Macaca mulatta: one gene and its partners. The protein of the gene in region 1 interacts with the protein of each later gene in a pairwise test. Links are inferred from orthologs where the notes say so. Each region holds a gene or a part of one and is shown in the gene's direction. Other genes may lie near its edges.

The links.
Region 2: the proteins of UBQLN1 (region 1) and ZG16 interact in binary tests that used the Homo sapiens proteins (3 or more experiments, as listed by UniProt). The link is inferred for Macaca mulatta from reciprocal best matches to the Homo sapiens genes UBQLN1 and ZG16.
Region 3: the proteins of UBQLN1 (region 1) and ENTREP1 interact in a two-hybrid assay, tested with the Homo sapiens proteins (2 studies listed by BioGRID and IntAct). The link is inferred for Macaca mulatta from reciprocal best matches to the Homo sapiens genes UBQLN1 and ENTREP1.
Region 4: the proteins of UBQLN1 (region 1) and RIC8A interact in binary tests that used the Homo sapiens proteins (3 or more experiments, as listed by UniProt). The link is inferred for Macaca mulatta from reciprocal best matches to the Homo sapiens genes UBQLN1 and RIC8A.
Region 5: the proteins of UBQLN1 (region 1) and KLHL42 interact in binary tests that used the Homo sapiens proteins (3 or more experiments, as listed by UniProt). The two-hybrid records come from large-scale screens. The link is inferred for Macaca mulatta from reciprocal best matches to the Homo sapiens genes UBQLN1 and KLHL42.
Region 6: the proteins of UBQLN1 (region 1) and TRIM32 interact in binary tests that used the Homo sapiens proteins (3 or more experiments, as listed by UniProt). The two-hybrid records come from large-scale screens. The link is inferred for Macaca mulatta from reciprocal best matches to the Homo sapiens genes UBQLN1 and TRIM32.
Region 7: the proteins of UBQLN1 (region 1) and AGPAT5 interact in binary tests that used the Homo sapiens proteins (3 or more experiments, as listed by UniProt). The two-hybrid records come from large-scale screens. The link is inferred for Macaca mulatta from reciprocal best matches to the Homo sapiens genes UBQLN1 and AGPAT5.

What each region holds. Positions count from the first base shown.
Region 1 is NC_133420.1:114,632,434-114,637,027, reverse strand, and holds the start of UBQLN1 (ubiquilin-1), read left to right. Parts: upstream 1-1,519; 5' UTR 1,520-1,781; coding exon 1,782-1,961; intron 1,962-4,594. UniProt on the Homo sapiens protein: Plays an important role in the regulation of different protein degradation mechanisms and pathways including ubiquitin-proteasome system (UPS), autophagy and endoplasmic reticulum-associated protein degradation (ERAD) pathway.
Region 2 is NC_133425.1:28,820,909-28,825,555, reverse strand, and holds the start of ZG16 (zymogen granule membrane protein 16), read left to right. Parts: upstream 1-1,805; 5' UTR 1,806-1,901; intron 1,902-2,429; exon of another isoform or gene 2,430-2,751; intron 2,752-4,647. Other genes in the region: C20H16orf54 (transmembrane protein C16orf54 homolog), read right to left, coding at 794-1,468. UniProt on the Homo sapiens protein: May play a role in protein trafficking. May act as a linker molecule between the submembranous matrix on the luminal side of zymogen granule membrane (ZGM) and aggregated secretory proteins during granule formation in the TGN.
Region 3 is NC_133420.1:100,369,875-100,374,222, forward strand, and holds the start of ENTREP1 (endosomal transmembrane epsin interactor 1), read left to right. Parts: upstream 1-1,345; 5' UTR 1,346-1,493; coding exon 1,494-1,907; intron 1,908-4,348. UniProt on the Homo sapiens protein: Functions as an activator of the E3 ubiquitin protein ligase ITCH in the ubiquitination of the CXCL12-activated CXCR4 receptor. Thereby, triggers CXCR4 endocytosis and desensitization, negatively regulating the CXCL12/CXCR4 signaling pathway.
Region 4 is NC_133419.1:87,192-90,067, forward strand, and holds part of RIC8A (chaperone Ric-8A), read left to right. Parts: intron 1-20; coding exon 21-112; intron 113-697; coding exon 698-848; intron 849-1,924; coding exon 1,925-2,020; intron 2,021-2,093; coding exon 2,094-2,256; intron 2,257-2,332; coding exon 2,333-2,477; intron 2,478-2,793; coding exon 2,794-2,876.
Region 5 is NC_133416.1:30,133,988-30,138,537, forward strand, and holds the start of KLHL42 (kelch-like protein 42), read left to right. Parts: upstream 1-1,612; 5' UTR 1,613-1,652; coding exon 1,653-2,524; intron 2,525-4,550. UniProt on the Homo sapiens protein: Substrate-specific adapter of a BCR (BTB-CUL3-RBX1) E3 ubiquitin-protein ligase complex required for mitotic progression and cytokinesis. The BCR(KLHL42) E3 ubiquitin ligase complex mediates the ubiquitination and subsequent degradation of KATNA1.
Region 6 is NC_133420.1:41,594,504-41,599,131, reverse strand, and holds TRIM32 (E3 ubiquitin-protein ligase TRIM32), read left to right. Parts: upstream 1-1,651; 5' UTR 1,652-1,732; coding exon 1,733-3,694; 3' UTR 3,695-4,561; downstream 4,562-4,628. UniProt on the Homo sapiens protein: E3 ubiquitin ligase that plays a role in various biological processes including neural stem cell differentiation, innate immunity, inflammatory resonse and autophagy.
Region 7 is NC_133413.1:7,582,027-7,585,938, forward strand, and holds part of AGPAT5 (1-acyl-sn-glycerol-3-phosphate acyltransferase epsilon), read left to right. Parts: intron 1-1,110; coding exon 1,111-1,336; 3' UTR 1,337-3,912. UniProt on the Homo sapiens protein: Converts 1-acyl-sn-glycerol-3-phosphate (lysophosphatidic acid or LPA) into 1,2-diacyl-sn-glycerol-3-phosphate (phosphatidic acid or PA) by incorporating an acyl moiety at the sn-2 position of the glycerol backbone.

The sequences.
Region 1 (4,594 bases):
TGCAGGTAAGACACAGCATGACAGGGAAAAACAGGTAATGAGGAGCTGATGAAGTTGAGGAGAAATTTTATTTAGACATATGGAAGAAATTCCAAATGATTGATTGTCCAGTTGTGGCACTTTCTATCTTGAGAAGCAGTGATTACCTCACACCTAGACATAACCAAGTAGTCATCCTTCATTAAGCAGAAGGCCTTGTTATTTGAGCCACGCTGCCAGAAATTTAGGTGATATCAAATGATGTCTATCCTGAAATCGATACCCTCAGAATTCTCTTAGACCCAGATTCCATATAGCTCTGCTAAAAAGTCGTGTTTATGTAACAGTATTTATTCTGAGAACAGGGTTGGACGGCTTAGGAGCAGAAATGCAAAATGTATCTTTGCGGATTTGGGTCACCATGGGCTGTCAGGATTTAAATTGTGCAACACTGATTAATATAGTTAATGTGCTGGTTTGTACTTTCCTTGCAAGTCATCTTTAAAACCAAATGATATAATTTCAAATTCGGATTCTCAGAGATAATTTATTTCTATCTGTATTACACTGAAAATAATTTTGGAACTATCTTTAATGCCACTTAAAGCCTGACATTGAGCAGTAACTTGATAGAATAGAAAGTGAACACCTCAGCTATATTACATTGTCCCAGTTGGGTGGACACTCCTCGGGCACCCTGTTCCGCCCTACACACTGTAGGAAATCGAGTTCACAGAGAATCGGGGGGCGCTCGCGCACAGCTGTCATCGCAGCAGCAGAGGCCACTGTCAATACAGGTCGCCTGATTGATCGTCTGACCAAACAGGGCTAACCCGAGGGCGGTAAATAAGTTCTGGCCACGAAGCAATGACTCCGCGGGATTGCGCAGGGCAGTCACAGGCGTTTACTCCATTTTCTGTTTGTTGTGCTGTGGACCTTTCCGCCATTAACTTATCCCAACTCCCCCGCATAGGGCAATACCAGCCCTCCAAATATGAAACGCTAAGCATATTAAAATAACAACAAAATACCTCGCCGCTATTTTATCACCAGACCCTCCTCCCAGCGGGGAACGCAGAGTAGGCAGAGAGGCAAGGCAGGGCAAGGCGACTGTGACAGCGCGGAGGGCTGAGCATTGCCCAGCCGGGAATGAAGTAAGGTGGGGAGATTACCTGGACCGCGAGCGCGCAGGCGCATCCGCGGTCGCAGGGCCCACTGGTCCCTTTCTAGTAATTTCGCTAACCTTGACGTCATCTCGGTGCGCCGTTACAGCGCTTAACTGGAAACTGCAATTTAGTTTTTGGTGAAGGGAACGGAAAAAAACCATGAACTGAGCTGCCCCGCCCCATTTTGCTTTTAGTCCTTCACACTGGCTTCGCCTACACTTTGGGCAATGGAGCGGGAAAGGAAAAGGCACGTAGGCTGAGCTCAAAGCGGCGCCAGCCAGGGATGACTCGGCGACGCCGCCAGGCGCGTTACCCGGCGTGCTCCGCGCGGCGCCGGCGAAGGGACGTGGGGGAAGGGGCAGGGAGGAGGAAGCGGTGGCTGCTGCGGATGTCGATGTGAGCGAGCGGCGCCTGAACACACGGCGACTGCCGAGCGCCTGACCCGGGCCTGCGCCAGAGCCTGCACCGAGCTCCGAGGCCCCACACCCGCTAGGGTGGCCCTGCGCCCGTTGCTAGTGAGGCGGCGTGCTCTGCATTCTTCGCTGTCCAGGCCTGTCGGCTTTGGTGTCTGCTGGCTCCTCCTTGCTCGCCTGCTCACTCCTGCTTGCCTGAGTCACCGCCGCCGCCGCTGCAGCCATGGCCGAGAGTGGTGAAAGCGGCGGTCCTCCGGGCTCCCAGGATAGCGCTGCCGGAGCCGAAGGTGCTGGCGTCCCCGCGGCCGCTGCCTCCGCGGAGCCCAAAATCATGAAAGTCACCGTGAAGACACCGAAGGAAAAGGAGGAATTCGCCGTGCCCGAGAATAGCTCCGTCCAGCAGGTGAGGTCGCCTGGTGCTCGGGCCGGGATGGGGGTGGCGGCAGGACCTCCGCCCGCCGCGCCAAGAGACCTTTTGGGAAGGACCTGGGAGAGGGGTCATCCTCCCAGGTGCCCTCGGCCATTCTCCCGGGCGTCGTCCCAAATTAGATCACACCCAAGTTAGTGGGTTTGCGCTTTGGGACACCGCAGTGGTTTGTGGCGTGGCGGCGCGGCCTGTTTGTGGGACGGGCCGATGCCGCTTTTCTCGGAGCCTTCTTTCCCTGGCATCCGCCGACCCTCAGCCTCCTCCCCCAGTTCCCCGCCCTCCGTCGCCTCCCCTCCAATTCCTCACAAAGGAAAGGGACCCACCGCTAGGCTCCGGGCGGGGTGGAGGCTGGGCGGGGGCGAGGGTTCGCTTTAGCTCAGGCTGCGGTTTTGCTTTATGAATTAAAAAAGGGGTTGGGTGGGATCCTCGTTGTTTTACGTGCCTGCTTGTTAAGATAGGTTTTGGGGTGAGGTGCACGTGTATATTTAGTTCTGCATTTTAACTCCTGAAATCTTTCCCACCTTGCAACCTTTTTAAAAAAATTATGACGTAGAAACCGATTTTAGCTCCATCTTAAGTAATAGTAATAGTACTAGGTTTAAGGAGAAAAGTGAATGACTTTCTTTCATTGATGACTTGCTCTTTCCCTTTTAGTATGTTTATCATCTCTTAGATGCCAGTCATTGGGTAGGTTTTTGTTTGATTTTAGAGAGGCGATAGCGATGTTGATATTAGCTGTTGCAGCCAAATAAAAGAAAATTGGAGTTAATGGAGAATATTACTTAAACTTCGTTCAGGAATACAAATCTTGCAGTTAATTAAGATCCTTGGTGGAATTTAACAAATAATTTTAGTGTATTGTTGAATACGTCGTATTTTCCATGATTATTGACTTAATCTCTGAAGATCGCACACAACGTGAACAGTTTGTGACAGGAAACAATCAACAATTCCTGAAATGTACCTATCAGAGTCCCCAGGGACTGTAGGGGATTGGGATATTGGTTTAGCGAGTTCCAAAGGTAGTGTGTTTTGTGAGGCAGTGAGGTGTGTAACATCGAATGAGAGAAACTTTTACCATCAACGGAATTTATCACTCTTTTTTTTTTTTTTTTTTTGGTCTCCTACTGCCTGTAAAAATGTTCCTTACCGTTTTTGTATTTTCAAGCATACAGAAAGTTGAAAGAACTGGGCAGTGGACACACATATGTCCATCATCTACAATTAGCATTTTACAGTATTATAATCGATTATCAAGTCCATTTTATTTTTGGGGAGCAATTCAGAGTAAATTGCACGTGTCAGTAGATGACACCAGTACATGTCACTTCAGCATTGTGAACTGATATTTGCCTAAGTTCAGCCTCGTTTTTTACGTTTTTTGACGTAATTTTGACATGCAGTGAAATGCATGCCATTCCATGAGTTTTCACAAATGCTTACACCTGTGTAGCCCAAGCTCTTATCAAGATATAGAACATTGTAATTGACTAGAGAGTTCTTTCTTACCTTTTCCCAAGTCATTTCAGTCACTCGGCCTTTCCATCAACTACCCACCTTTTTTTTTTTTTTTTAAATGCCATAAGTTACAGAGTTGCCTGTTTTAGAATTTAACATTAAGTGGGATCCCATATAGTCTATAGTACTGTTTGTATTTTTCTGGGTAAGCCTTTTTTTTCCCACTCAGCATAATGTTTTTGAGTTTCGTCTTTGTTGCATGTATTAGTAGTTCCTTTCTTTTTATTGGTGTGTAGTTTTCCACTGTATGTATATACCATAATCTATTCACTGTTGAAAGTCACCTGAGCTGTTTCCAGTTAGTTACTGTGAACAGTCTTATACAAGTGTTTTTGTGGACTCTTTTTTCTTTCATGGTTATATACTTAAGACTTGGTTTGAGTAGGTCATAGGGCAATTGTATGTTTTAGTTTTGTGAGAAATTATGTTTTAAAAAATGCTTGTGGGCCCGGCGTGGTGGCTCACACTTGTAATCCCAGCCCTTTGGGAGGCTGAGGCGGGTGGATCGCCTGAGGTTCGAGACTAGCCTAGCCAACGTGGTGAAACCCCGTCTCTACTAAAAATACAAAAATTAACTGGGCATGGCCGCAGGCACCTGTAATCCCAGCTACTCGGGAGGCTGAGGCAGGAGAATCATTGCTTGAACCTGGGAGAGGGAGGTTACAGTGAGCCGAGATGGCACCATTGCCATCCAACCTGGGCAACAAAAGCGAAACTCCATCTCAAAAAAAAAAAAAAAAAAAAAAAAAGCTTGTGTAGTGCTGGCTTCAGCAGCACATATACAAAAAAAAAGCTTGTGTCATTTTACCATCCCACCAACGAAGATATATGGGAGTTCCTGTTGCTCCATATCCCTGCTAACATTTTGATCTTGTCAGTCTCTTTAATTTTAGCTATTTTAGTGGGGGTGTAGCCATATTAAGTTTTAAAGTTCAGGTCTGGTTTCTAGGATTCCTGATTCATGCCTCCACCATCCTGGGTGCTTTCAGCATTTTACTGCAGAAGATTAGAAATAGTCAATATTTTATAAATGGAAAAATTCCTTTCAGTTAATATATGATGTTATAGCTGTGAGGATGTTTTTGCTTTTT
Region 2 (4,647 bases), on another chromosome or scaffold:
CAGTTTGGGAGCTGCCCTGCTCTGGGACTCCTCTCCACATTGGATGAAACTCAGTTCTCCCTGGCCATGGCATTCCTCACCATGGAGTGGTGAAGGTCCTAAGCTGAGGCGTGTGCAGATGGAGGAGGAGGGGCAGGGAGCCTGTGGATTTTCTCTGACTCCAGGTCCCCACTCCAGCAAGACAGCGCCGCTCCAGGTTGGCCCAGCACAGTTCCTCCTTGCATTTTGGGGGTCAAAGCCGCAGTTCATTTGAAACAAAATGCTCCTCTGCCTGGTCTGGTCCTCTCTTTGTGTATTTTCCTAGAGGACCTCACAGTGGGTGAGTGGCCAAGGAGAACAGGATTTGTGCCTCTGGGAAACTGGATTCCTGTCATCTCCTGCCAGCTGTCATCGCCACACCGAGGCTGTTCAGCACCGCGGGACCCTTTCTCTTTGGTATTGGTGGCTTCGGTAAATACTGAGGGAAGGTGGAGGTGGTGGTCGATGCCTTTTCCTGCCTATCTGGTACCTTGGGTTCTTTATCTTGATGCGATCTTGAAGGCTTCTGGCCTGGTGTTGGCTCCACCCCCAGGTCTCTGAACCACAGCCGAGGCAGCTGAGCAGAGGCACTGCTCGGCTTCCCCTAGTCCACACAGCCTGGCCACCACCCCGACCTGGGGAGGGGGACTCTGGTGGAAGGGGCCTGGGAGGGGCATCTTCCCTGGGGCAGTCTCAGTCCTAATGCTGGACGCTGGGGTCCCTGGTCCCACTGAGGCAGGGCCTTCCTCAGGGGTCTCTGGGGAACCCTGGGAATTCAGAACCCCACACTGGTCCGGCCTTCACGCCTCCAGAAAGCTGAGATCTGCTCCAAAGTGACCCGTGGCTGGAGGCCCCACTCGGGATCCGGGCTCCGTGGCCGCTGCCTCCTGGCCTGGGGGCTCCCAAACTGGGCTCTGGCCTCTGGCCTCTGCTCGGGTTCAGCCCAGCTCACCAGGCCCGTGCCGGGGGGCCTCCCCTCCCAGGGCTGGGGCCCCCAGAAGGTGCTCCGGGCTGGGACCTCCGGTGAAGTCTGGGGGCCCAAGGAGCTGGGAGCAGAATTTGGGGCTGAGGGGGCATATGGGGCAGTTGCTTGGGCCTCCAAGACGCCCACTGGAGTGGGAGGCTCAGGGGCCCGGTCTGTCAGCAGGGGGACCGCAGAGCCGTACCAGTCCTCAGAGCGCTCTCGGGGGGTGCCCATGGGCTCAATCCACAGCTCTCCTCCTGGGCGCCACACCAGGGTGGGTGCATGGTGGCTGGGGTCTGGGCGGAGAGCCCGGCGGAACAGGCGCTCAGCCAACACAGCGGTGGTGAGGATGAAGAGCGCAGCCAGGGTGGCCAGGGCCAGCATGATGGGGATGCAGGGCCCACAGGGCAGTGAGGGCCATGGGGCTGCCTCCCACGTGGGGGGCCCTTCCATGCGCCCAGAGGGCGGCTCTGGAGTTGACGGCATCTGGAAGACATGGGGCAAGAAGAGGAAGTAAATGAGGCAGAGGGGGCACAACAAAGATGAGAGAGAGGCAGCAGGTGTCCAGGAAAGCCTGGGAGAGGGGCTGGGCTCGGGGGCTCATGCCTGGAATCCTAGCACTTTGAGAGGCCAAGGCAGGATGATCGCTTGAGCCCAGGAGTTCAAGACCAGCCTGGACACACAGTGAAACCTCATCGCTATAAATAATTTAAAAACTAGCTGGGCATGGTGGCTCACACCTGTAGTCCCAGCTACACAGGAAGCTGAGGTGGGAGGATTACTTGAGCCCAGGAGTTCGAGGCTGCAGTGAGCCCAGATTGCACCACTGTCCTCCAGCCTGGGTGACAGAGCAAGACCCTTTCTCAAAAAAGAAAAAGAACATTCTGGAGAGACAGAGGAGCAAGGGGGACCAGAAAGGGTAAGCGTGAGCCAGGTGGGGCGGGAGGACAGGCTGCCTACCTATGCGCACAGCCAGGCCCTCTTGCCCAGCTCTCCAGGCCTTTCCAGAAGCCCCATTTCCCTCCCGGACCCCAGGGTGCCTCAGACCAGAAAGGTCTTGAGGGCCTCTTTCCTCCCCACTGGGCCCCCTCAAGTCTTGCTTAGGCCTAGAGAGGAAGTGGTGGGTGAAGAAATGAGAACCTCCCCTCCGACCGGCTCCCCTGTGTGTGTCTCCCCTACCGCCTCCCGCCGGCCACCTCTGCTGGCCCCTTGGGGCTCCTTCGCCCCTCACCAGTCTCCTTGGACTTGATCTTGTTCTCATAGACTCCGTGGAATCGCGGAATCTGCTGCCGGGCCAGGCCAGGCCTCCGGAGGCGCCTCTGCACCCCTCCCAGGTTCCCCAGCTTTGCCCAGGCTCTGGCCTGTCTCTCTCTCGTTCGTCTCTGCACACCTCTCTCTGTCCCCCACATCCTCCATCTGCAGGGGCCTCCTGCACCCCTCAACTCACCTTGGGTCAGTCCCTGGGCGCCTCTCCCTCCTAGAGCCACTCTTCCTGGTGCCGGACTAAGAGATGCAGGCTCGGAAGGTGCAGGGCAGTCCGCCTTTCAGACATAGAGGCCGGGCCTCGGATGAAGGCGGAAGGGAGGGCACTGCCTGTTGCTGGGCAACTGTGCCCCAACTCGCCTGCCCCCGGGGAGTGTTTGTTTCCAAAGCAACCCAAGGGGATGTGGTCACTGCGGTGAGGAGGCTTTTCCTGGGGTAAGGTGGGGCTGGAATGGGCAATGGCTCTGTTGAACTTAGTGTCACCCCATAGCCAGGCCCTGGGCCCCAGAACATTCACCCAGAAGCCGAGAAAGAGGACGCAGGGGCTAGGCACAGTGGCTCACCCCTGTAATCCCAGCATTTTGAGAGGTCAAGGTGGGCAGGTGACCTGAGGTCAGGAGTTCGAGACTAGCCTGCCAACATGGTGAAACCCCATCTCTACTGAAAAATACAAAAATTAGCTGGATGTGGTGATGGGCACCTGTAATCCCAGCTGCTCGGGAGGCTGAGGCAGGGAGAATCACTTGAACCTGGGACTCAGAGGTTGCAGTGAGCTGAGATCATGCCACCACACTCCAGCCTGGTTGACAGAGCGAGACTCCATCTTAAAAAGAAAGAAAAAGAAATAGGACACAAGTAATCTAGCCCGTACATTCCTAGAGAACCATGGTGCCTCCCCCTGCTCCTCCTGGGAGGATGCCCCACCCCATCCTGCCTTGTCCTATCCACGGTGCCTCCCCAGATCTGCTCCTGCCATCCAGCCCCCACAGGCACCCCCTGCTTGACCAACTTGCTTCACACTTTTTTTTTTATTTTTTATTTTTTTGATAGGGATGGGCTCCCGCTATGTTGCCCAAGCTGGTCTCAAGCTCCTGGCCTCAAGATATCCTCCTGCCTCCGTCTCCCAAAGTGCTGCGATTATAGGTGTGAGCTACCACACTGGCTCCTGCCTCATACTTTTAATTAACATAAGTCTCTCTCTCTTCAGACCATTTAGCCCCCATTCTGGTTGGAAAATATCAGTGAGGTGAGGCTTGGGTAACAAAAATGTCAGGCCTCTGGGAGGAGTCCAGGGTATAAAAACAGGCGTGGGCTTGTTTCCAAAACACTGACTAGCCTCATGTCTGTCCCTCTTTCCTGGGGCTGAGGGTGGGAGGAGTCTAGAACAGAGTGTGACGAGATGTCATCAGGCTTTGGAGTCCAGGAGACTTTCTGAGATTCTCTAGTTTGACTCACTTATCCACAGATGACAAAGTTAAGGCCTAAAGAAAGCAGATGACATGACCAAAGTGGCATGACCAATGTATGTGTGGGTCAGCATGTGGTGGCCGGGGTGGTGGAAGAATAGTTAGAAATCCCTGGGCTGGGCGAGGTGGCTCATACCTGTAATCCCAGCACTTTGGTGGGCAGATCACCTGAGGTCAAGAGTTTGAGACCAGCCTGGCCAACATGGCAAAACCCTGTCTCTACTAAAAATACAAAAATTAGTCAGGCGTGATGGCACGTGCCTGTAATCCCAGCTACTCAGGAGGCTGAGGCAAGAGAATCGCCTGAACCTGGTGCAGTGAGCCGAGATCGTGCCATTCCACTCCAGCCTGGGCAACAGAGCGAGACTCCATCTCAAAATAAATAAAATAAATGAATGAAAAGACATTATCAGTCAGACTGCCCCGTCCTGGTGATTTTGAGCCCTGGTGGGAGGAGGTGGAGATGGAGAGTTCGGGGAAACCACCTTTGCAAAATTAGGACTGAGACTGTGAAAGAGATCTAGCTTAACCGACACCATCTTGCTTCTAACCTCCAAGCTGTCTTTGTTTATTCCTGGGCGTAGGCTGAACTAACTTTGGGAGAAACTTAGTTTGTAGTTTATAGTTTAAACAAAGACAGTAACAGCCCTTTCCCAAAGCAGACCTCCTTCTTGCCTGGGGACTAGACTAACATTAGCCATTGGATTAGAAATTATGGTTTAGGAGTCATGCAGCTGCAGGCTAAAAGATTCTGACCGTCCCTACTGCTCCTAAGATCAGTGCTTGAGATATTTTGCAGACCCTGCACTTGATGGATCAGCTGGCACCGCCCAGATCAATAAACTGGCTCATCTGGTCTTGTGGCCCCCACCCAGAACTGACTCTGCAAGAAGACAGCTCCAACTCTCCATGATTTCATCTCTGACCAGTCAGCAT
Region 3 (4,348 bases), about 14 Mb from region 1:
TAACATCAGCAGCAATTTAAGAGCATATACTATATGGCATTTTAAAAATGAATCAACAGACTTTAAACCCTTATTTTGAAAGACATCTCCCTTTTCCTCCAGAATTTGAATTTATTCATGGGAGCAGTCTGTAAAGGAAGTCCTAGGCACCATTAATGACATGTGCTTTAATAATTTAAGAAGTGTATATGTAAACTTGGGCACATTGACAGTATATCACATTGTGGATTAAAGTGTAACGACCAATATAAATACAGCTTCCACAAACAGAGTATAAAAACTGACACACACTTTTCTTGGTATATTGGGTGGGAGGATGTTAAATACCTTAGGATAAGACAAGTTTTCTAATACTGGAACTGACTAACTGCCAAGAACACTGCTGTGGTTCTTATCAGGAAAAAAAGTCTATTATAATCATTTTAGGTACGAAACTTTCTACGCATTAGAATTCTTCCAAGGTGAAAAGATATTACTAAGGGAATTCATTTTGCAAAGAGGAATCATCTTTTTTTTTTTCTCTAAAGATTTTTCATATATTACCAAAATAGTTTAGGATTTTATTAGGATATTTCCTCGGAAGTTTGGGGGTTCCGTGTTCTACCAGGTGATGCCTAATAGATGCCTGATACCGCTCATGAGTCAATAAGAGGAGGATAGAGCGTAATCCTTGCCATGCGCTCCGGGCTGCCCCGGGTACTTTCTGTACGGATGCTGGATGCTTCCAAGGTAACCCAGTCCTTTCATTCCCGCTCCTACCGAGATGCCGGGAAAGCATTCCCGGGCTGATGCGGGGTAGGCAGGTCCTGCGCCCTGCGAGCCGTAACTGCGCTCGGCGTCGTCCTTCCCGAAGTCCTTGGCTTACGCCTCTTCCCATCGAGTCGCCCCAAAGCCCCTCCTCCAGCCATCCCCCTCCTTGTGGGGGCAAAAGTTTAAGGGCGGGCTCCCTTCTCATTAAAGCGCGCCGGGGCCTCTTTAGTGGCTGGACTGTAAACGGGTCCGAGGGTCCACGGCGCTTTCCTCGCTCTTCTCTAGCCCCAGCTCGGCGGGTGGGGACAGACGCTGAGACTGTCGGTGGCCGGCGCTGACGCGTCCTGGCCGTAGGGTGCCTCCCAGCTCGAGGGACTTATTTAAATATTTGGGGCAGGGCACCCTGCCAGGACCCCAGGAAGCCGGCGCAGATTTGGCGGGGACCCCGAGGCTGTGGCGCACTTGCCCCAGCGCAGCGCGAGCACTGGGTGCGCGTGGGTGAGAGTGAGGTTGCGCCCGGGGCCAGCGGGAGGCGGACCCGCCAGGCGGCAGGTGGGTGCGGCCGGCTGGAGCCAGGGCAGCGGCGGCGGCGGCAGCGGCGGCAGCAAGTGGTTGGGCCGTGCGCATTTCCTTCCCTCCCCCTCGGCCTCGGAGCCCGCCCGCGGTGCCCAGTGTGCGGCGCCTTCGGCTCCGCTCAGCGTCCCCTCCCCGCCACCGCCGGCCGCACCCTTCACGGTCCGTCCATGTCCCTGCCGGTGGTGCTCCCGGGCTCCTGCTGCCCCGTGGCTGGGCTTTCGGGTGGGCCGCAGACCGGGGGCCCGGGCGCCGCCGCCGCCGCCGCCCAGGAGCCGCCGCTGCCCCCGCTGCGGCCGCGCTGGCCCCGGGGCGCGCTGCAGCCCCCGTCGCGGCCTCGCTGCGCGGCCACCGCTGCCGCCGGGGTTCTGGCCGCGCCGCCGGCGCTCTCCTCCCGCCGGGCAGCCGCCGCCGCTGCCGCCGCGGCCCCGGGCTCTGCGCTGTTGCCCGCCCGCCCGCTGCTGTCACTCGGGCTGCTGCAGCTGATCCTGGGCTGCTGCATGGTGGCGCTCAGCTTCGGGGCGCTGTCGCTGAGCAGCTCTCCGCAGGTGAAGAACTCGTGCCCGTTCTGGGCCGGCTCCTCGGTGAGTACCGCGCGCGCGCCCCGCTAGCCCGGTCATCCCGTGGATAGGGGGCTCTGGTCGTACCCTTTCATTGTCCCTTAGTTGGCCTCCAGGGCTGCAGTTGGGGGAGCCTTAACGCCATCTGAAGTTTTTGGAGCCTGGAGAAAAATGTTCCGCGACGGTCGAGTTCAGGGGTGAATTGGGCTGCACCTGGGTAGTGTCTGTTGCGCGCAGGCTGAAGGATTTTATTGTCCCAGTTAAGCTAATAGAATTAAGCAAAGACACCCAGCTCTTTGGGAGATTGGAAGGACAGGGTGTGGGTGGCAGGAAAGTGGGAGGAAAGTGATTAAACTTCTTTTGGTCGTTGAATATTTGCTGCACTGACAACGTCTGTGCTGGGAGGGCAGGGATTTTGATCATTTTTGTTCACCGATGTATCAAGAATGCCTGGCACATAGTAGGAGTATTTGTGGGATGGGACAGTTTCGGACACATCGCTTGTTTTATTCTCCATTAAGACACACATAAATGTGAAATGTGTAGGGTGGCTCGACCCCCAGACGAGTTCAGGAGGTAATGAGAGGGTGTGTGTGAACTGGCGCTTGTACCTGGTCATTAAAGGAGGGCCTTAACCCCACTTGGTTCCTGGAGCCATGCAGGCTGCTGTGCAGAATTCAGTTTGTGAGAACCGGGACCTGTCATTAGGGACGAGCTGGCCAAAGGTCCTGGAGCACGCAGCAGCTAGCTAGAGATGTCTGCTCTCCAGGACCCACTCCTCCAACCGGGAACGCTGAGCCTGGGGCCAAAGAGTGCCCAACTTCAGAGAAAAGCTGCTGCCAGCCAGTATCTACGGACACCGGGTGGTCACTCCCCTCTACCTCCTAACAATCGCACAATGTCCAAGGCATGTAACCCCCTGAAGTTCTCTGGGTGTTGAGAGACTTGGAAACACATCTTTGTGGGATGACTATGGAAGATGAGTAAAGTAAATAACCTTCCTTTATATCTTTTTTTTTTAATTTTTAATTTTTATTTTTTATTTTTAAGGGACGGAGTTTCCCCATGTTGCCCAGGCTGGCTTCCAACTCCTGAGCTCAAGTGATTCTCCTGCCTTGGCCTCCCAAAATGTGGGGATTAGAGGCATGAACCACCACAGCCGGCCGTAAATAACCTTTCTATGAACTCACTGTGTAAATCTGAAAGTCTAGCAATGCTGCTAGTTTTTAGTAAGATCTGTAATCAGTGTATGTCCTGAATGGTAAGAACTGCTTTTGCAGTTTCACACATACGGCAATTCAAGACCAAACTGAAAAAAAGGACTCGAAGAACTAGTTGAACCCAAAGTAATTGTTTAAATAAGAACATTAGGTTCCTTGAGACTCGCCTGAAATTGTATACTTCATCCAGTGCCAATTTGCTTTCCTTTTGAAATACTTTCATGTTGAATGATCTTATTGGGGTACATGCTGTGCTGTGGTGAGGGAAGACCACGATTTGTGCCTCATGTAGAAAAAATGCCACCCTAGTGGCCCTGCCTGTGGGCTCTGCAGCTGGCCTCCATGAGTGTTCAGGAAAACTCCAGAAGGATGGATATTCCAGATGGGGTAGGAATTAGACCTGTTATGCTACCTATTCTACTTGTCTGACTAAATCCAGCCAAAGAGTGGGTGCATTTCGTTTCTCTAAATACTATGGGCCAGTAATAATCTTGCATATATTTTTAGGAATTTGCTCTTCATAAAATCGTGATCTATTGTCTTCTCAAACATAGCTAGTTTAGAATTATTAAAAACTATTTTTTGTCTTATAAAATTAAAAGCTGATATCATTTACTATTGTGAATCATTTCAGAGGTAAATGCACTTAGATATCAGTCAAGCCACAGTTGAATTTGATGAAGTACCAAAAAAAAAAAAAAAAAAAAAAGAAGAAAAGAAAAGAAAAAAGGCCTTCAACCAGAAGGTGAAGGTTAATACTCCTGGTCTGGGCCGGGCGCGGTGGCTCATGCCTGGAATCCCAGCACTTTGGGGGGCCGAGGCGGGCGGATCACGAGGTCAGGATATCGAGACCATCCTGGCTAACACGGTGAAACCCTGTCTCTACTAAAAATACAAAAAATTAGCCGGGCGCGGTGGCGGGCACCTGGAGTCCCAGCTACTCGGGAGGCTGAGGCAGGAGAAAGGCGTGAACCCGGGAGGCGGAGCTTGCAGTGAGCCGAGATCGCGCTGCTGCACTGCAGCCTGGGCGACAGAGCCAGACTCCGTCTCAAAAAAAAAAAAAAAAATAAATAAATAAATAAATAAAATAAAATAAAATAAAATAAAATAAATAGATAAATACTCCTGGTCTGCTGGCTGGGTATGTCCTTGTCTCCAAGTCTGGGCATAGCAGAGCAGAGAAAGAAATCAGTGATTTGGAACTGACAAGTTCTCTGCCATGTCTTTCCCCATTCTTCCCCATAC
Region 4 (2,876 bases), on another chromosome or scaffold:
ACCCTTCTTTCTTTGGTCAGGAAGACGCTGCTCTTTACCGACACCTGGGGACCCTTCTCCGGCACTGTGTGATGATTGCTACTGCTGGAGACCGCACAGAGGAGTTCCATGGGTGAGGATGGGGCTTTTTCTGGGAGGGAAGTGTGTCCACATGTTTAGATGGTCATCCTCAGCCCTGGCCGTGAACCAGAACCACCTGAGAGCCCAGGCCCCACCCTAGAGGGTCTGACTTTGTCTGGGTGAGTGAGACTGGACATCGGTGTGTTTCCAGAGAATACTGGGTGCTTCTAATATGTGGCCAGGACAACAGCCATGAATTTGGGGGCAGGAATGTGCCACCTGGGCCTTGGGTAGTGGCAACAGACAGTGTGGTATTTACTAGGGCACATTGGCTCCTTGTCCCCATTCTTGGTCCACCTGCCCCTTGGCTGGTGTGGTTTCCAGAGATGGTCTGGCACTTTGGCCCAGACAGGGTAGGGGAGGCAGGGTGTCTCAGCCCCCACTTCCCCAGGGGACCCCACTGTACAGCTGAGTGGCAGTGCCTCTCAGATCAGTCCCTGCCCTTGGCTTTGGTCCCCAGTGCCGCCCCTTTGGGCCTCAGACGCCAGCTCATGTAATGTGTGGTTCAGTGGGGGCACAAAGATTGCATCTGTGCTGAGGGATTAGCCCTATTGAGACCCCCACCTCCATCTGTCAGCCACGCAGTGAACCTCCTGGGGAACTTGCCTCTCAAGTGTCTGGATGTTCTCCTCACCCTGGAGCCACACGAAGACTCCGTGGAGTTCATGGGAGTGAATATGGATGTGATTCGTGCCCTCCTCATCTTCCTAGAGAAGCGTTTGCACCAGGTAGGCTGGGGATGGCTGTACAGGCTCCCCCAGTGGCTCTGGCACTGGTTCTCCTGCACAGCTGTGGTCAGTGCTTCTCCACTGGCCACATTGGTAAGTGGAAATCATCTTGGTGGTGTGATACAGGTGATTCTTCCGGCTGTTCTGTGGTCCAGCCTGGCAACAAGCTAGACCCTTCCTTCATGAGAAGCATGTGGACACCTTCCACACACTTGAAGGTTTCACTTCTTAAATCTTTGTGGATCTTTATTGAGTGGTCCTGAGAAGCCCCCAAGTCCCTGCTTTTAACTCTCAGACACAGGCAGCCCTTGACTACAAGCATAGCTGTCCCTCAACATCCTGAGGAGACCCATAGGAACCTCAGATCAAAGCTTCCCTCTGATTCCTGTGACTGCACTACAGGGCATCTGGATAGCTAGGGCTCTAACCATCCTCCAGGAGCTTGCAGAAAGCAGGCTGGAGCACAATAAACCGAGATTTAGGAGACCTCTCGGGAATCTACCTGCCTAAGCAGGGGACACACATGGTGCGTGAGAGCCAGTCAGGGTAGGGAGCTGGCACTGGACATACAGCCGGGGGGTTGTCTGTGCCTGTCGCTGTCGCTGCCACTGCTGGTGCTGGGGTCCAGGCACATTATGCTAGGAGGGTCAGGAACTCCCTGCTCTCTGTCCATGAAGTACCCAGAGTGGGGATTCGGTTCTCGTTTCTTTTTGCCACCAACATCTGAGGGCAATGTGTGTGCCAGTCTAAAGCTTTAATTGCTTTGTGTTTTCTTCCCAGCCCTGGTTTATAGTTGAGGTAATTAGACTTAAAGCAGTTATTTCTCCCAAGTCACCAAGCTTACAACAAGTACCTCTGAGTGAAGCTCTGTGCCCGTCCTTTTCAAAAGTGACACAGACACCCACCACCCACTCTTGGCCTTCTGCTGACTAACTGCAGAGGGGCCTCTTCCCAAACCTGTGCCACCAGGACCAGCTGCTGTGTATGTTGGTGGGAAGGGGCGGTGGGGGGTGTAACTCTGCGCCAGTCTCAAATTAGGCAGGAGCACAGCCACGGTGACAGAGGCTCCTCTACAGACACACAGGCTGAAGGAGAGCGTAGCTCCCGTGCTGAGCGTGCTGACCGAATGTGCCCGGATGCACCGCCCAGCCAGGAAGTTCCTGAAGGCCCAGGTATGAGACTGAGGAGCTGGCACTCCTGGGGGATGTGGTTTCGGCCCTGATCACAGACCAAGCCCAAGCTTAGGGACGGCCACCTCCCCAGGTGCTGCCCCCTCTGCGGGATGTGAGGACACGGCCTGAGGTTGGGGAGATGCTGCGAAACAAGCTTGTCCGCCTCATGACACACCTGGACACAGATGTGAAGAGAGTGGCCGCCGAGTTCTTGTTTGTCCTGTGCTCTGAGAGTGGTGAGTTATGGAGATCCGGGTCCCAGCGCCCCCACCTCAGCCAGGCTTGCACACTGACCTCTGCCTTGCCCCCCAGTGCCCCGATTCATCAAGTACACAGGCTATGGGAATGCTGCTGGCCTTCTGGCTGCCAGGGGCCTCATGGCGGGAGGCCGGCCTGAGGGCCAGTACTCGGAGGATGAGGACACAGACACAGACGAGTACAAGGAAGCCAAGGCCAGGTGTGTGCCCCCAACACCCCCTCGGGTCTCCACTCAAAGCCCCTAGTCCCTGCTTCGACATCCATGTGGACCACTGTAGGGTGGGACAGGATGACCAGTGGGCAAGACCTTCCAGAATCAAGCACCTGTCCCTAAGTGCTATCTGGGATACCAGAAGGTGGCAGGTGGCAGTTGCTGGTTACCAGTGCCGCTTCTGGAGGGAGGCCTCTTCCTGCAGTTGCCTTGCCCACCTCGCCCCACTGGGAAAAGAGGTGGCTTGCCTCCTGTCCTGGAGAGTCACTAATGCATTCCCCACATTCCACCTGCTGGGAAACAGCATAAACCCGGTGACCGGGAGGGTGGAGGAGAAGCCGCCTAACCCTATGGAGGGCATGACGGAGGAGCAGAAGGAGCACGAGG
Region 5 (4,550 bases), on another chromosome or scaffold:
AGTGAACACACCCTCTGCTTCCTCTCAATCCTTCTCTCTTCTCCTACCCAAAGATAACCCTAACAGTATATTTCTCCCCCCATCCCCTTCCTTGGATGAATTCATGAGCAACACAAAAAGTCCTTCCTGTTATTATTTGGGGTGGGCCTTCTAATTGCAATGGTCAGTGAGAGAACATAGGAAACAAGTGGTCGCTCTTTTCCGAGACGGAGTCTCGCTTTGTCACCCAGGCTGGAGTGCAGTGGCGCGATCTCGGCTCCCTGCAACCTCCGCCTCCTGGGTTCCAGCAATTCTCCTGCCTCAGCCTCCGGAATAGCTGGGATTACAGGCGCGTGCCACCACACCCGGCTAATTTTTGTATTTTTAGTAAAGACGGGGTTTCACCATGTTGGCCAGGCTGGTCTCGAACTCCTGACCTCGTGATCTACCCACCCTGGCCTCCCCCAGTGCTGGGATTACAGGCGTGAGCCATCGCGCTCAGCCAAACTGAACGTGTGATCTCTCTTAATAGTCCTCAGATGATGGGGGCAGGGTAGGTGGAGAAACGGGGTGACAAGAAAAGCTACCTCTTGCAGACATCTATGAGCTGATTTTGTCAGATCTTTTGCGACAGTATAACATTCCGTAATGGCTAGTCCAAGCAGACTGAAGTAGACAAGCAATGGCTCATAGAAAACATGGTTTAAAACCAGAAGCCACGTGATGTAACTTTATTTAGTCGAACTGCGCTTTCATCTTTCTTTTAATAACTTAGGGAGAACAACGGGCCCCAGTGGCAAATGCAAGGTCCCCTGCCTCCCAACCCGATTCCTCTGAGAACCTGCTGCCATCTGCCTGGACCTCCTGTAAGATGGCTCCTACGCGACGACCCTACCAGAGAATCAGCTCTACGTGCCACCAACATTGCCACCAACATGTCCACAGATTGCCTGCTTGCCTCAGCCCACTGACACTCGATGCCGGACTGGGCCAGAAGGACGATCCTAGATTTGATGCCTTTTTGTCTCCCTGGACCAGAGACTGCCTCCTCTTTCCTCCCACGTTCATTTCTTTTTCTTTAGCCCGTGTAAAGCAGCGTGGGAGAGAAAACTAATTTCTTCTCCCTGGGGTACCCCGGAGCATCGCTGCAGCCCCTGGCAGGCGGCGGAGCCGCGCGCCCCGGGCGTGCCGAGAGGCTGCGGGGACGCGCGCCCTCCGCCTCCCGCAGCTGCGCGTCCGCAGCCGGGGCGCCCAGGCCCGCAGCCTCCCGGGCCTCCCCGAGGGCCGGATCCAGCCTGCAGGTCAGGCCGGCGGCCGGGGTCCCGCGGGCGGAAGTGAGAAGGGCGGCCGGGGAGAAGGCTGCGGGCTGGGGGCTGGGATTCCCTTCCCGCCTGGCGCCGCCTGGGAGAGCCCGCGCGAGGACGCCCGGCGCGCTCCGCCGGCCCTTTTTTGGCGCTGAGGAAAAGGAGAAGGGCAGAGCCGCCGCCTCGCGGGAGCGGGCCCCGGGAGGAGGGGCCGCTGGAGAGGCCGGGCGAGCGCGGGCGGCCCTCACCTCGCCGCTCCTCCCGGGCCGCCATCCCTCGGCGCCCCGCCCGGAACCGGCGCGCGCGTGGGGGCGGGGAGGCCGGCGCGCAGATCTGGCGGTGAGCGCCGCCGCCCCGGGGCCCCCAGCCATGTCGGCCGAGGAGATGGTGCAGATCCGCCTGGAGGATCGCTGCTACCCGGTGAGCAAGAGGAAGCTCATCGAGCAAAGCGACTACTTCCGCGCCCTCTACCGCTCCGGCATGCGCGAGGCCCTGAGCCAGGAGGCCGGCGGCCCGGAGGTGCAGCAGCTGCGCGGCCTCAGCGCGCCGGGCCTGAGGCTGGTGCTGGACTTCATCAACGCCGGCGGGGCCCGCGAAGGCTGGCTCCTGGGCCCGCGCGGGGAGAAGGGCGGCGGGGTGGACGAGGATGAGGAGATGGATGAGGTGAGCCTGCTGTCCGAGCTGGTGGAGGCGGCCTCCTTCCTGCAGGTCACGTCTCTGCTGCAGCTGCTGCTGTCCCAGGTGCGGCTCAACAACTGCCTGGAGATGTACCGCCTGGCGCAGGTGTACGGGCTGCCCGACCTGCAGGAGGCCTGCCTGCGCTTCATGGTCGTCCACTTCCACGAGGTGCTGTGCAAGCCCCAGTTCCACCTCCTGGGGTCTCCTCCCCAAGCTCCGGGGGATGTCAGCCTGAAGCAGAGGCTGAGGGAGGCCCGGATGACTGGGACTCCTGTCCTCGTGGCCCTCGGGGACTTCCTGGGGGGACCCCTGGCCCCTCACCCCTACCAGGGGGAGCCCCCGTCCATGCTCAGGTACGAAGAGATGACTGAGCGTTGGTTCCCGCTGGCCAACAACCTTCCTCCCGACCTGGTCAATGTCAGGGGCTATGGGTCTGCCATCCTGGACAACTACCTCTTCATAGTGGGCGGGTACAGGATCACTAGCCAGGAGATCTCTGCTGCGCATTCCTACAACCCCAGCACCAACGAGTGGCTCCAGGTGGCCTCCATGAACCAGAAGAGGTAAGCACCCCGGCAGAGTGCTGCTGCCTTCTCATTCATTCACTTGTTCATTAGTTCATGGGCCCGGTGTTTACTGAGCCAGTAAATAGGGGAGGGTGTGCTGAGGTGGAAATGACATCTTCAGGAATGTTGTTGGCCTTGGTGCTGGCAAAGTTCCCAGTGAACTAAGAAATTGCGAAGAGGAACTCCCCAGTGAGGTCAAGTAGTGGAGTGGTTTTTTGGCAGGTATTGTGCCTTTAGGTGAATCTGCTTTCTTTGTCTCTGTTCTTGTGAAAAAAGATGTCGTGATTTCCTATAAGAATACTTTAAAAGAAAATTGCTCCTTAATTTTTAAAAAAATTTTTCTTAGTTTTTAGGATTCGATCCTGATGGTAATGACACACTGGACAGTAACCTGTGACACTGACTTTGGGGGATTTTTTTCTGTTGTCAGTGACTGTGACAACAGAGAGTCTTTCACACTGTGACACCCATCATGACCAAGAGATAATCACTGGAAATGTATTAACATTTGCAATAGGGGTTGCTTTTCTTATTTTTTATCTTCTCTTTTGCTTCCTTCCCTGGACAGCCATCGTCATGACCCAAAGCTTGAGCCTGGAAGTGTTCAACTATAGAATTGGAATATTTTCATTTACCCAACCTTCTCCCCCTCCCATCCTGCAAATCCCTCCTGCCTCCAATATGGGTGACTTGAAGAAAGGAAGAGGAGGAGCTTGAGGAGTGGGATGAGAGGGGAGAAGGGAAACGAACCAGGGAAGGAATATGAAAACAAGAGCAAAGAGCATATACAGGAAGAGATGGTAGGAAATAAAGACGGTAGCGCCGAGGAGGCCTCAGAGTCATTCAGAAGCAGGGAAGAGAATCAATGTAACTCAAGAAAGAATGAAAATACCCTTTCTTCCCATCCACGTGTTTCCATCTCAATCCTCACAGGGTCCTGGTCCTGAAGTGTGGAGCAAGGAATTGGGGAACTCACAGCTAGGCGAAGGAAGTCTTAACAGTAACAGAGAATCCTTTATATATCTATCTATTTGACTCGAGGGTCCTCCTTGGCCAGGGATTATTTGGGGAAATAACTGGCTTTATTTCTCCTATAATATGGAATTCATTTTGAAAAGTATGCTTTTTTCCCTGATAATACATGGTTACAGAAAACTAGAAAATGGAAAAGAATGAAGAAGCAAAAAGATGATTATTACCACTCGTTCTTCCTAGAGGCAGTAACTGCAGGTTGGCATATTTCCTGCCAGCCCATTTTTAATGCATTATTTGCACCATTGAGATGATACCATATTTAAAATTTGGTATCAGAAGTGTTATTTTAAAACATTCTATGCGCTGTAATTGAAACAACAAAGAAACATTGTGTGGCTATGGGTGGTGGTCTGATTAGGGGTGGGCGGCCCTGAGTTCTCTGTCTCCTCTTGCATGCCTCCAGCTACACATCATTTGACGCTCACCAGGCCATCCTTAGTACCGCAGTTCCTCACAGTTCTTTCTTCCCTTCATACATCCTTGGTAGTCTTTGTCTTTTTTCTAGGAAGGCCCTTTTCATCCCCTGAAAAAAAAAAAAAGCATTCAAGTAATGCATGAATGCATGCTTCTTAGAAAAACTGCAAATTACACAAAAATACAGAGTAAGAAGAGGAAATGTCTGCCCTCAGGGTACAGAAAAAAAGTGTCAGTGTATCGACAGACTTTTGTTACCTTTAGATATTATAAATGTATAAACATTTATATTTGTAAATTACATGTATACTTATATAAATACACTTAACCCTTAAGTAATGTGGGGGCTAGGGACACCGACCCCTGCACAGTCAAAAATCCCCATATAACTTTTGACTCTCCCAAAAACTTAACTACTAAATAGCTTACTGTTTACCAGGCGCCTTACCAATAATATAATCAATTAAAACATTTTGTATATGTATTATATACTTTATTCTAACAATAAAGTATGCTATAGAAAAGAAAATGTTATTAAGAAACTAAGGAAGAGAAAATTAAGCGGAAGTGGATC
Region 6 (4,628 bases), about 73 Mb from region 1:
ACTCCCCATTACCCCTGTCTTCTCTGATTTGTTTCCCCACTGCATTCCTGCTTTGATCATATCAGCTTCCTGCTTCAAAACATTTATCGCCTCACCATGCCTTTGAAAATGAAGCTCAAAAATCTCATTTTGGCTCTTAAGACCTTTTATAATTATTCCCCCAATTTACCTTTCCAAGCCTGTTACTCTATTCCCCATATATACTCCCACTGTTTTAATCTAAGGATAATAAAAAAGAGAACTAAAATTCATTTAAGGCTTTTTTTGTGCAGAGCCAAATCTTAGCATTCTATATACTCTATAGATTATTTAATTCTTACATTAACTCTGTAAAGACAGTATTATTTCCACTGTCTTTATTATTTTAAAAATTATTATTTTAAAGATGGAGAAAATAAAATGCATAGATTTTAAATATTCTCTGTTTTCTTCCTAATACATGAAACTTCTTGTCCTTTCCTTTGCCTTTTAAACTTTGTTAAGGTTGTGCCTTTTGCCGCCTCCTTTCTTCCCTCTCCGTGTGTTTATGCTTCTTTCCAGGCCAATATAAAATGTCATCTTCCTTTTGAAAATTCTGTGTCCCTTCAAATTAGAATGACTCCTCAACCCCCATCAAACTTAGTTTTTATTTCATTTATAGTACTACTTTCTGCCTTCATTATTATTTGCCTACATGTCTTGTCTTTTATAAAGTTTGAATATCTGAAGAGCAGGATCTGTATCCTGAAGACCTCTTGTATCTAGTACAGAACAAGATACCTAAACTTAGATGGGTGGATAGATGAGTAGGTAGGAGGATAGATGCATGGAAAATGTGTATTTTCTGATCTAATGTTTTGCAGATTACCTAAAGCTAATCATCACAATTTTCTAAGTCTGTGGATGATTCCTAGGGCCCCAAACATGACACAGTAAACTCTATGACATGATGAAAAAAAAAAAAACAGCCTCCACACTTTTGCTTACATGGTTTTCTTTGCTTAAAGTACCTTTATCCCTCAGTCCTTCATTTCTTTATCTTAGGAGTGAAACTGCTTTTGGGAAGCCTTCCCCAAGTCTGTTAGGTGGAATCTATCATTCCATCCACTGTACTCCAGCAGAACATTATGTGGACCTGCATGTCACACTTACTCCTTTTACTGTGCGTAATTCTCCTGTGCTTTTCTGTTAGTGTAAACTGTAAGTTGTAAAACTCACCAAATATGAAAGTAATCATTAGCATTTATTAAAGTATACTACTTCCCTGGTGCTATATACTAAGCACATCATATTTATCTTGTTATTTAGCCCTTACAATAACCATTATTCTACAATAATAGATTGTTCTACAATAATAGAATAAGGTAGACACCATTTTTCTATTTTACAGATGAGTGATGGGGAAAGAGCTTTTGGAAGTTTGAGTTACTTCCTTATGGTCATGCAACTAAGTAAGTGTCTGAGATTCCAGAATCTGAATTATTACCCTCTATGCAGTGTTTTGTCTTGTTTGTTTCCCTGTCACCCTCACATGACACATAATAGACCTCAATAAAATAGTTAAGTAAGTGAATGACTGAACGACTGATCATAGCTATTCTCTAAATGTTTCTTGAGTGAATTGATTTATATAATCAGAGGAAAATGAATAATGGTTTCTTTTTCTCTTTAGCAGGAATTTTACCCTCTAGGGCATGAATACTGTGCTGTTCAGTTCTGAGCTGTGCTAGCAGTACCCTTCAAAGGAATAGCAATGGCTGCAGCAGCAGCTTCTCACCTGAACCTGGATGCCCTCCGGGAAGTGCTAGAATGCCCCATCTGCATGGAGTCCTTCACAGAAGAGCAGCTGCGTCCCAAGCTCCTGCACTGTGGCCATACCATCTGCCGCCAGTGCCTGGAGAAGCTATTGGCCAGTAGCATCAATGGTGTCCGCTGTCCCTTTTGCAGCAAGATTACCCGCATAACCAGCTTGACCCAGCTGACAGACAATCTGACAGTGCTAAAGATCATTGATACAGCTGGGCTCAGCGAGGCTGTGGGGCTGCTCATGTGTCGGTCCTGTGGGCGGCGTCTGCCCCGGCAGTTCTGCCGGAGCTGTGGTTTGGTGTTATGTGAGCCCTGCCGGGAGGCAGACCATCAGCCTCCTGGCCACTGTACACTCCCTGTCAAAGAAGCCGCTGAGGAGCGGCGTCGGGACTTTGGAGAGAAGTTGACTCGTCTGCGGGAACTTATGGGGGAGCTGCAGCGGCGGAAGGTAGCCTTGGAAGGTGTCTCCAAGGACCTTCAGGCAAGGTATAAAGCAGTTCTCCAGGAGTATGGACACGAGGAACGCAGGGTCCAGGATGAGCTGGCTCGCTCTCGGAAATTCTTCACAGGCTCTTTGGCTGAAGTTGAGAAGTCCAATAGTCAAGTGGTAGAGGAGCAGAGTTACCTTCTTAACATTGCAGAGGTGCAGGCTGTGTCTCGCTGTGACTACTTCCTGGCCAAGATCAAGCAAGCAGATGTAGCACTCCTGGAGGAGACAGCTGATGAGGAGGAGCCAGAGCTTACTGCCAGCTTACCTCGGGAGCTCACCCTGCAAGATGTGGAGCTCCTTAAGGTAGGTCATGTTGGCCCCCTCCAAATTGGGCAAGCTGTTAAGAAGCCCCGGACAGTTAACATGGAAGATTCCTGGGCCATGGAGGCGGCAGCCTCTGCTGCTTCTACCTCTGTTACATTTAGAGAGATGGACATGAGCCCGGAGGAAGTGGTTGCCAGCCCTAGGGCCTCACCTGCTAAACAGCGGGGTCCTGAGGCAGCCTCCAATATCCAGCAGTGCCTCTTTCTCAAGAAGATGGGGGCCAAAGGCAGCACTCCAGGAATGTTCAATCTACCAGTCAGTCTCTACGTGACCAGTCAAGGTGAAGTGCTAGTTGCTGACCGTGGTAACTATCGTATACAAGTCTTTACCCGCAAAGGCTTTTTGAAGGAAATCCGCCGCAGCCCCAGTGGCATTGATAGCTTTGTGCTAAGCTTTCTTGGGGCGGATCTACCCAACCTCACTCCTCTCTCAGTGGCAATGAACTGCCAGGGGCTGATTGGTGTGACTGACAGCTATGATAACTCCCTCAAGGTATATACCTTGGATGGCCACTGTGTGGCCTGTCACAGGAGCCAGCTGAGCAAACCATGGGGTATCACAGCCCTGCCATCTGGCCAGTTTGTAGTAACTGATGTGGAAGGTGGAAAGCTTTGGTGTTTCACAGTTGATCGAGGATCAGGGGTGGTCAAATACAGCTGCCTGTGCAGTGCTGTGCGGCCCAAATTTGTCACCTGTGATGCTGAGGGCACCGTCTACTTCACCCAGGGCTTAGGCCTCAATCTGGAGAATCGACAGAATGAGCACCACCTGGAAGGTGGCTTTTCCATTGGTTCTGTAGGTCCCGATGGGCAGCTGGGTCGCCAGATTAGCCACTTCTTCTCGGAGAATGAGGATTTCCGCTGCATTGCTGGCATGTGTGTGGATGCTCGTGGTGATCTCATTGTGGCTGACAGTAGTCGCAAGGAAATTCTCCATTTTCCTAAGGGTGGGGGCTATAGTGTCCTTATTCGAGAGGGACTTACTTGTCCGGTGGGCATAGCCCTCACTCCTAAGGGGCAGCTGCTGGTCTTGGACTGTTGGGATCATTGCATCAAGATCTACAGCTACCATCTGAGAAGATACTCCACCCCATAGGGGATGAGAAATATCATTTTCTTCTGCTCCCAAGCCAGCTTCCCTTCCCATAGTTCTTGGTTGTTAGTGGCACATAGAGAATAGACTCGGCATATGTCCTGATTCCAGCTGGGTAGTTCTAGAACTTTAGAAGCTCCATCTTTTTATGTTTTTTATTTGTTATTTTCCCCTCCCCACTTCCCACCTAAATTTAGAGCTTTAAAAGATGCACTGCCCAAATAGGACACGCAATGGTGTTAGCTGAAGTTTGATTAGCAATTAGGCACTTCCAAGGCTTTAGTAGAGAGAGCCACTTTAGCCCTTTGTGCCATGTTTGAAATGTGCCCTTGTATTAAATCCTTGATTTTTTCCCGTTTGGCTCTGATGCCCTTGATCCATTGTTTCCTTCCTATTACAATGTGCTTCATCTGTGACACTTTCTCTTCAACTCTGATTGGATTCACTGTGCATGCTTCAGTGGGATATGCTCCACCTTTCAGTGACATTTCAGACATATTCCTGTAACATTATGTCTCAGTCTGATCGTCTTTACCAGTGTGAAAGCTCATTCATTTAGTGCTACCAAAGGGGATACACAGGCCCTTTAGGAAGCAGTACCTCTCGCCTGGAGGATCTGTGCCATCTTGGATTGAGAACTGCAGATGTGACAGAATGGATTGACCCTAGTTGGTTGGTATTGACGACTTCAGCCTGGAAATTGCTTGCCTTTTAAAGAAGCATAATATGGATTGGAATTATGCCAAAGCATAGGAAGCTAGGAATAAGCAAACAAATGCTGATATAGTCAGCAAACTTGGATAGTCTCTAGGGCTCATCGTTTTTCATACTACCTCTCTCTTCTGGCCTGTGTCTAAGGAATTGTACAGCATAGGCCAGGGCCAACAAAATGGAGAGGTGGACACATTTTCATGTTCATTACTAAAACAAACAGCAA
Region 7 (3,912 bases), on another chromosome or scaffold:
TGATTATCGCTACGGTGTGTGATTTATAAAGCAATAGAGGTGCTTTTCCTTTCAGTATTTTTGTGTTTTAGATTATTATGTTGGGTATGTTCTGCTATTATAACTTTACAAATCTTATGTAAGATGGTAAAATGAATTACTATGCTGTTTTCCTTCTTTCACCTGCCTTTCTAATTCCATGGGAATAAAGGTGTTTTTGGGACAGACCAGGTGCAGTGAGCAGTCCATATCCATGGATTCCATATTCGTGGATTCAACCAAGCACAGATCAAAAACACTCAGAAAAAAAGGGGGCTGACTGTGGTGGCTCATGCCTGTAATCCCAGCACTTTGGGAGGCTAATGCGGGCAAATTGCTTGAGCCCAGAAGTTCAAAACAGCCTGGGCAACATGGCAAAACGCTGTCTCTACAGAAAATACAAAAATTAGCCAGGTGTGCACCTGTAGTCCCAGCTACTCAGGAGGCCGAGGTGCGAGGATCTCCTGAGCCTGGAAGGTTGAGAATGCAGTGAGCTATCGTTGCCCCACACTCCAGCCTGGCAACAGAGTAAGGCCCTGTCTCAAAAAAAAAAGGATTTGGGAGGATGTGTATATGTTATATTCAAATACATGCCATTTTATTCATATATCTGGGACTTGAGCATCCTTTGATCTTGGTCTGTGCTGGGTATCCTGGGACCAGCCTCCTGTGGATACAGAGGGACCGCTGTCTAAGAACCGCTGGTCCTATCTTTGACTTCTGGTGGAATAGGAGCTCCACATAAAAAGGAGGAGAAGCTGCAGCGGGTTATTAGCCATTTGTGAGTCAGGTCACTGTAAAACTTTATAGATCAAAAGTTTAAAAGACAAAAAACATTCTCATAAAATGGCTTAAAACCACCTGTTGAAATATTACATATATAATTCATGTATACTAGTCATAGAGCATATTAAAGATATTTTAAAAGACTAGAAACTTCTATTAATCCAAATTTCTGGATGTTTCCTTATTCATCCTTATTTTCCAAGGACCTGCATAACTTTTCCAGCATGTAATAGCTACCTAATTGATATTTTTTGAATTGAAATACTGAAGTGACTAAAATCCAAACCTTTTTCATTCTGGCCATAGGATGCTTATAGAATTTTATGAGTCACCAGATCCAGAAAGAAGAAAAAGATTTCCTGGGAAAAGTGTTAATTCCAAATTAAGTATCAAGAAGACTTTACCATCAATGTTGATCTTAAGTGGTTTGACTGCAGGCATGCTTATGACCGATGCTGGAAGGAAGCTGTATGTGAACACCTGGATATATGGAACCCTACTTGGCTGCCTGTGGGTTACTATTAAAGCATAAACAAATAGCTGTCTCCAGACAATGGGATGTGCTACATTGTCTATTTTTGGCGGCTGCACATGACATCAAATTGTTTCCTGAATTTAATAAGGAGTGTAAATAAAGCCTTGTTGGTTGAAGATTGGATAAAATAGAATTTGTGACGAAAGCTGATATGCAATGGTCTTGGGCAGACATACCTGGTTAATACAACTTTAGCACCGGGGCTGCTGGAAGGGTAAAAGCTAAATGGAGTTTCTCCTACTCTGTCCATTTCCCATGAACTAATGACAACTTGAGAAGGCTGGGAGGATTGTGTATTTTGTAAGTCAGATGGCTGCATTTTTGAGCATTAATTTGCAGCATATTTCACTTTCTCTGTTATTTTCAGTTTATTACAACCTGACAGCTCTAAGGTCTTATTACTAAAGTATTTAGTATCTTGCAGCTAGCTAATATTTCATCTTGTGCTTATTTCTACAAGTCAGTGAAATAAATTGTATTTAAGAAGTGTCAGGATGTTCAAAGGAAAGGGTAAAAAGTGTTCATGGGGAGAAAGCTCTGTTTAGCACATGATTTTATTGTATTGCGTTATTAGCTGATTTTACTCATTTTGTATTTGCAAAATAAATTTCTAATATTTATTGAAATTGCTTAATTTGCACACCCTGTACACACAAAAAATGGTATAAAATATGAGAAAGAAGCTTAAAATTGTGATTCTGATTCATTATAGCAGAACTTTAAATTTCCCAGCTTTTTGAATATTTATGCTATTAGTACTCCCCTATGTCTGTGCCATAAGTGCTTGAAAACATTAAGGTTTTCTGTTTTGTTTTTTTTTTAATATCCAAATAGTCAGTGTGCACCTTGGTTGGACCCCAAGTTCACAAGATTTTTAAGGTGACGAGAGCCTGCAGACATTCTGCCTAGATTTACTAGCATGTGCCTTTGCCTTCTTCTCTTTGATGGAACAGGATGTTCAGAAGTCACGTTTCTGTGATGTGGTGGATTCCCACTGGGCTCTGGCCCTTTTCCTTTGGATCCCGTCAGCGGTGCCGCTCAGCGGCTTGCACGCAGACTTGCTGGGAAGAAATGCAGAGCCAGCCTGGGCTGCCCACTTTCAGAGCTGACCTCTTTAAGCCCTTGTGAGTGGGCTTCACCAGCTACTGCAGGGGCATTTTGCATTTGTCTGTGTCAAGAAATTCACCTTCTCAAGCCAGTGAAATACAGAATTAATTCATCAGGACTGAACGAATTTGTTTATTTCCCATTAGGTTTAGTAGAGCTACACATTAATATGTATCACCTTAGAGCAAGAGCTTTGTTCCAGGAACCAAATCACAATTTTCAGCCATGGAACAATATATCCCATGGGAGAAGACCTTTCGGTGTGAACTGTTCTATTTTTGTGTTATAATTTAAACTTTGATTTCCTCCTAGTCCTTTAAGTTAACATTTCTGCTTACTGCTACTGGATTTTTGTTGCAAAAATATATCAATGGCCCACATGAAACATACGAATTGGATCATGATAAGCAAAATGAAAGAAATAATGATTAAGGGAGAATCAAGTGACTGTGTTACACTGCTTCTCCCAGGCCAGAGAATAAACTGTTTCAAGCATCGTCTTTGAAGAGTCGTGTGATGTGAATTGGTTTAGAATGGATGCACACATCCATGCACACTCAGGATACAGTTGGCCTAATCATCAGTGGGGCATGGGTAAAACTTAAGAAAAGTTTCCTCATGCCAAATTCTAATTTTCTCTTACCTGTAAAGTAAAATTTAGATCGATTCCATGTCTTTGTTAAGTACAGGGATTTAACATATTTTGAATATAATGGATATGTTCTAAATTTGAACTTTGAGGGGCAATACTATTGGAATTATGTGGATTCTAACTCATTTTAACAAGGCAGTCTGACCTGCATAAGATCACTTGAATGTTATGTTTCATAGAACTATACTAATCTCACAAACGGTCTATAAAATATAGTAGTTGAAAAAATTTTTGTATCAAAATGTTTGGAAAATTAGAAGCTTCTCCTTAACCTGTATTAATTCTGACTTGAATTATTTTCTAAAATTAAGAGCCGTATACCTACCTGTAAATCTTTTCACATATCATTTAAACTTTCGTTTGTATTATTATTGATTTACAGCTTAGTTATTAATTTTTCTTTATAAGAATGCCATCGATGTGCATGCTTTTATGTTTTTCAGGAAAGGGTGTGTTTGGATGAAAGTAAAAAAAAAATAAAATCTTTCACTATCTCTAATGGCTGTGCTGTTTAACATTTTTTGATCCTAAAATTCACCAACAGTCTCCTAGTACATAAAATAGGCTTAATGACTGGCCCTGCATTCTTCACAATACTTTTCCCTAAGCTTTGAGCAAAGTTTTTAAAAATACACTAAAATAATCAAAACCGTGAAGCAGTATATTAGTTTGGTTATATACATTCATCTGTAATTTATAAGATGCATGGCCAATGTTAATTTGCTTGACAATTCTGTAATCATTAAGTGATCTCAATGAAACATGTCAAATGCCTGAAATTAACCAAGTTGGTGAATAAAAGTGCCAATCTGGC